2 linked regions of the Kluyveromyces lactis genome follow. The protein of the gene in region 2 interacts with the protein of the main gene of each other region in a pairwise test. Links are inferred from orthologs where the notes say so. Each region holds a gene or a part of one and is shown on either strand. Other genes may lie near its edges. The genes, in order: PPA2 and PEX21.

Evidence for each region.
Region 1: the proteins of PEX21 (region 2) and PPA2 interact in a two-hybrid assay, tested with the Saccharomyces cerevisiae proteins (2 studies listed by BioGRID). The link is inferred for Kluyveromyces lactis from reciprocal best matches to the Saccharomyces cerevisiae genes PEX21 and PPA2.

What each region holds. Positions count from the first base shown.
Region 1 is NC_006041.1:974,535-977,616, reverse strand, and holds PPA2 (inorganic diphosphatase PPA2), read left to right. Parts: upstream 1-1,649; coding exon 1,650-2,543; downstream 2,544-3,082. Other genes in the region: RSN1 (Rsn1p), read left to right, coding at 1-1,433; NUP188 (Nup188p), read left to right, coding at 2,798-3,082. UniProt on the Saccharomyces cerevisiae protein: Involved in energy production. Its activity is stimulated by uncouplers of ATP synthesis.
Region 2 is NC_006041.1:1,384,694-1,387,228, reverse strand, and holds PEX21 (Pex21p), read right to left. Parts: upstream 1,428-2,535; coding exon 507-1,427; downstream 1-506. Other genes in the region: TDA11 (Tda11p), read left to right, coding at 1-303. UniProt on the Saccharomyces cerevisiae protein: Receptor that mediates peroxisomal import of proteins containing a C-terminal PTS2-type peroxisomal targeting signal via its interaction with PEX7.

The sequences.
Region 1 (3,082 bases), about 410 kb from region 2:
TAACCAGTTTGGCTCCAACCATCGCGTTGGCCGTGTTAATGATGCTGTTGCCTATCTTCATTAGAAAGATGGCCTTAATCGCTGGCGCACCTTCTTACCAGCATGTTGAATATTTCACTCAACAAGCTTATTTCGCATTCCAAGTTATCCAAGTGTTCTTAGTTACCACGTTGGCCTCCTCTGCTACTTCTACTGTTACTGCCATCGTCGAAGAGCCAACTTCCGCGATGAACTTGTTGGCTGAGAATTTACCTAAGAGTTCCAATTTCTACGTCGGTTACATCATTCTACAAGGTTTATCCATCTCATCAGGTGCCTTGCTGCAAATCGTGCCTTTGATCTTGTTCTTCGTGTTGGGGATGTTCCTTGATTCTACTGCAAGAAAAAAGTACGCTAGATTCACTTCACTATCCTCAATGGCGTGGGGTACTACATTCCCTGTTTACACTAACTTGGCTGTTATCACTTTCTCCTACGCGATCATCTCTCCATTGATCTTGCTGTTTGCATGTGTTGCATTCTTCCTATTATACGTTGCTTACCTTTACAATTTGACGTATGTGTTCCAGGAATCTCCAGATTCCCGTGGAATCCATTACCCAAGGGCTTTGTTCCAAACAATGGTCGGTTTGTACTTGGGACAAATTTGTTTGTTGGGTCTCTTTGTTGTTGGTAAAGGTTGGGGTCCAATCGTGCTACAAGCCATTTGTCTAGGTGTCACTGTTTTCGTTCATCTAAACTTCAATTCAGCATTTGACCATTTAATGGCCTTTGAACCTGTTGATACAATGAAGGCATTGGATGGTAAATCAAACACACCATCTTACATCAGAGATTTCGTTGAACCAGAAAAGGATGAAATCAAGGAATTGCCACCATTCCAAATCAAGAAGTACCATCCTCGTTCCTCGTCACAATTCGACCAAAGAACTACATCCATTCTGAGTGACAACACTTACGAAATCCAAACTGGTGTCTTTGATACCGATAATGAAAACACTTTGAACACAGTTCCATTGCTAGCAGACGGTGACATGACTCCAGTGCCACCAGCTCCATTCTGGAAAAGGTTCTTACTCCCTCACATCTACTATTCTTACAAGGCTGTGAAAACAAGATTGCCCGAGATCTACAATCTACCAGATCCAACAGAAATAACCGATGAAAAAGAAATCAAGCATGCATACGATTTCCCAACAGTCTCAGCTAAATGTCCATTCCTATGGATTCCTCGTGATCCATATGGATTCTCTACAGTTCAGATTGCTGATTTAGCTGGTGTCGTTGAAATTTCTGATGAAGGTGCTCGTTTCACAGAATCTGGCTCTATTGAGTGGGAAACTGCTCCACCTTCTTACAATGATTCTCAAATGCAAGTTGTATCTAATCCGTTTGACGAACAAGATGAAGATAATCTTCAGAGAGAGGAATAATCGTCAAGATCCAATCTAAGCCATTTTCTCTTACCATGTTGTGTAAGCTTTTAATTTATCTTTTTGTAATATTTCCACTAATCACTGATTAAATAATAATTTGTCTATTAAATTTCAAGCTTACCGAATTACAACCAAACACTAAGGAATCGTGGTCCAGTCGAGTCTGGGTATCCCACAGAAAGGATTCATTCCATAGTTGCTGTGTGGGAATTGATGTCTAGAGATATGAGAAGGGCTTCGCAACATTTGAGGTTGATTGGCAACCATTTACATGCTAGAAACTACCACAACGTTTTGGTTGGAAGCAAATACTCATCGTCTTTTAAACAGTACTTGCAGCTGCCAAACGGTGAAATTGGGTCCTATTTCCACGATGTGCCATTAGACTTAGATGTTGATGCCAAAACATGTAACATGATCGTAGAGGTTCCACGTTGGAGTAATGGGAAGTTTGAAATCAGTAAGACCGAACCATTTAACCCCATCACACAGGACATAAAGAAAGGCAAGCCACGATTTGTCAATAACATTTTCCCTTACCATGGATACATTCATAACTATGGGGCTATCCCACAGACATGGGAACAGCCACTTATTGAAGTATTGCCCGGTTTCAAGGGTGATAATGACCCATTGGACTGTTGTGAAATTGGTTCCAGCATCGCCAAAATGGGAGATATCAAAAAAGTAAAGCTTCTAGGGTCATTAGCCCTCATTGACGATGGAGAACTCGATTGGAAAGTCATTTGTATCGACATTGAAGATCCCATTGCTATAAAATTGAACAAGTTGGCAGATGTAGACACTGTTATGCCTGGTCTCTTGGATGCAACTAGAACATGGTTCAGAGATTACAAGATTCCTGCTGGGAAACAACCTAATGTGTTTGCATTCGAAGGTGAGTACCAGGACCAAGCATCTACACTTTCTACGGTACAAGAATGTCACGAAGCCTGGAATGCTCTAGTTAGGGGAGAAATTAAAGCAGATGGATCAGAGGCCGAGATTCCCTCCATTGTCAGAGCGGGAACTCACATAAGAGTTGAACCTAATCAACAAAATGACACACCAATCCCACAAGAAGTGGACAAATGGTACTATGTATGAACTTAAAAGCAGTCAGTGGTCAGTAAGCTTCTTCGGTTAGGTTAACCTGGCACAGCTCATCTCCTCTTATTATGCCTTTATGATATACATGTCCAATATTTTGATGTTACCCTCTCTCATATGTAGTGCAAAATTTTAATGTAAACAAAACTATATTTAATGAAACTATTCGATCTAACAATTAAGACGATGAGACAGTGGTACAGATTCACGTCAACTAAAGGCTATTGCGCTGGCCAGGTGTACCGTGCAGCATGTCATCTTTATCATTTGCTGGAATTTGTGCGTTTCTCCGCTCTGGGGAATACGATAAGGTACATAATGAGCCTACTTTCCAGGCAATCGATAAATTCTTGAAGGACAACGAAGAGATACTGGTTCATCTTTCGAGGTTTACCTCAGTTGAAAACACTGATTCCGTTGGAAAACAGCTGCAATTGAGGGGTTATTCATATAATGTGACGGTAGAGGACGAAAAATTGGCCAATGAGCTTTCAATTGCGTTAAATGTACATCAAAAAGAGTGTTTGAGAGTTATT
Region 2 (2,535 bases):
GACCAAATTATTCAGGGGACCGTTGAAACGAAGTTAGGATTAGGCGACTCGGGATCCAGTGCAACTGAAAATCAATCAGAGGGCAAGCCAAAAGGTGACGACAATGCGGGAAGTGCGATTTGGTCCTTAGTAAATGAGTTTAAAAACGGGCTTGGGTTACTAGCAACAGAGGAAGAAGATGCTGATGGGTCTATAGGCACGATAGCGACTGGTCTTGCTACCAATATGGAAGATTACGGCACAAGAAAGGCAGAATCATCAACTCAAGCAAAAGAGATTGAAATGTATCATTATAGTCATTAAATAAGATTATTTTTGGAACTAAGCTTTAGCTAAGTTAATCTAATATTGGGAAGTAAGTAGAATATGGTGATCCTGCCAGGTGATTTTCCACGTGAGTGTAGAGTAACTCTAACTCAATATGTATCGACAAAATAACAGTAGATCTGACAACAGAGAAATACCCCTCCACTCATACTTAGTAATACCATTTTATTTTTTTTTTTTCAAACGGAGTTATGGTACACTTTTGCAGCGGCTTCCGATGAACTCATATTAGATAAGTCACCAATGGAGTCCAAGGGGTCGCCTAAAACACTATCCTGCACTGGGAAATACTCTTCGCCAAAAGTTTCACCGGTAGAAGGAGAATATAATTCCGTATATTTATCCTCATCTGGGTTCTTTTTCAGAGTTATTACACCATCGCTGATATTTCTCATGAGTCCAAGGAACTTGGAGTTCGAAAATTTCGAACTAGTTGTAGATGATTTATCTGAAAGAGTTGTGTAAATGGATTGGGCTGCTTCTTTTAATTGGCGTTGATCTTCGTCTAGAGGAGACGTTTCTTTGAGATGGAAATCGTCATCCTTGTCCTGTTGCTGTTCTTTTTCATCGTCTTGCACTTGTCTTTCCAGTTCAGCAAATTGTTCATCGAGCTTCGCGCTACTACTGGCATACGCTTGTGACTCGAGTTGGTTCACCATCAGAGATTGCTGATGACGCGGGAACATTTGTGAATGGGACACCATCACCGGTGCACCCATGGAGTACGAGGCGCCACGCGCCTCGTACTGCGAATACATCTGTTTATAATCTGTTGGGAACTCGGTCTTGTCGTGCACCTGCATGTTTGCGAACTGATCGATCCAAACATGGTGATCAGAGGCTGTAGCAGTATTACTAGTAGTACTGGCTGCAGTAGTAGCGTTAGCAACAACAGCTGCCATAGGCAGCTGTTGATGCTGTGGATGAGCGAAACTGGGACCCGAGGCACCAGTAAACTGAGAGAACTGGTGGTCTAGTGCATTATTTCTTGGTCTGCTCTGCTGCTGTGCGATGCTCTGTTGGTGCTGATTCGGCTGTCCGAACCTATAACCAGACTTCGAAACAAGAGTGTTCAAAGGATTCGTTTGACACACTGACATGGTATTATATTTCTTGGTTGGTGGTAGTCTCCTCGAGCAACAGACATAAGACAACTAGTCCGCAAATCATCGAAACAAGCAATGTACAAACTTTATTTATATACATATATATATATATATATAATAAATGCAGAACCTGGACGAAAGAAAGAAATTATGAATAAAGAAATGAAACAAGTTCAGACCACTAACGGTTGAAAGATGTGGAATGGAAGTGAATAAAAAAAAAAAAAGTGAAAGAGCGACAGATGCGCAAACCCCCCGGGTAACAGTGAGGCTTTCTATGGACTTCTGAAGACCAGTACTGGCACTTCTAGCCGATTGAGGAAGCTATTAGATGAGGGAACCCAAAAACAGTACGTAAGCAAGTGGAGAGGCGGTAGTTCGGTCGAAATGGAATAATCATTTGACATTTTGATAATCTAAAAGACGATTAGTTGCATAATGAATGCCGGTCGGGACGGAACGGAATTTTTAAACCCCGGGGGAAAAGGAAAAGGAAGGAAGAAAAAAAAAAAAGAATGCTTTCGGACATTCAACTCTGAGATTACATAATACCATCCACGTGACTACGTCACGTGGATGGTATTATGTAATCAGTGTATTTTCTTTCCTTACCCGGCCGCCACCCGTCACTCAGCCGTTTCAGCTCTTCCCTTGCCTGAAACGGCGGAAATAAACTCCGTCGTCGTGCGACACCCGCAAAATCGGGCAAAGCACAGTGTGGACAATGAAAAAAGGGGTGCAGCAAGAGGTGGGTTTTTTTTCCGCGTTACCCGGAGATCATTCCCAGGTGTTTCTTAACTCAATATGCCAGTAGTTAAAGGAAGAAAAAGAAATAGAATCTGTCATTGCCAAAGGGCAAAGCCAATTTGAACAGGCAATTTAGTAGTGAACAGGGCAGCGAAAGCTGCCCTGTTCACTCGTATGGCTTAAGTTCCTTTATTCGAGCCAAGGCATCAAATTTAGGTATCACATGGCTGGGTACTGTACCGGTTAAATTAATTAAGTCAGTCATCGTGTATTTCTTTTCGATTGGTGCCAGATGAGTCGCCCATTTATTGGTCATTTGTCAATTTTCCGTTGCATCATTAGAGAAAGAGAATAT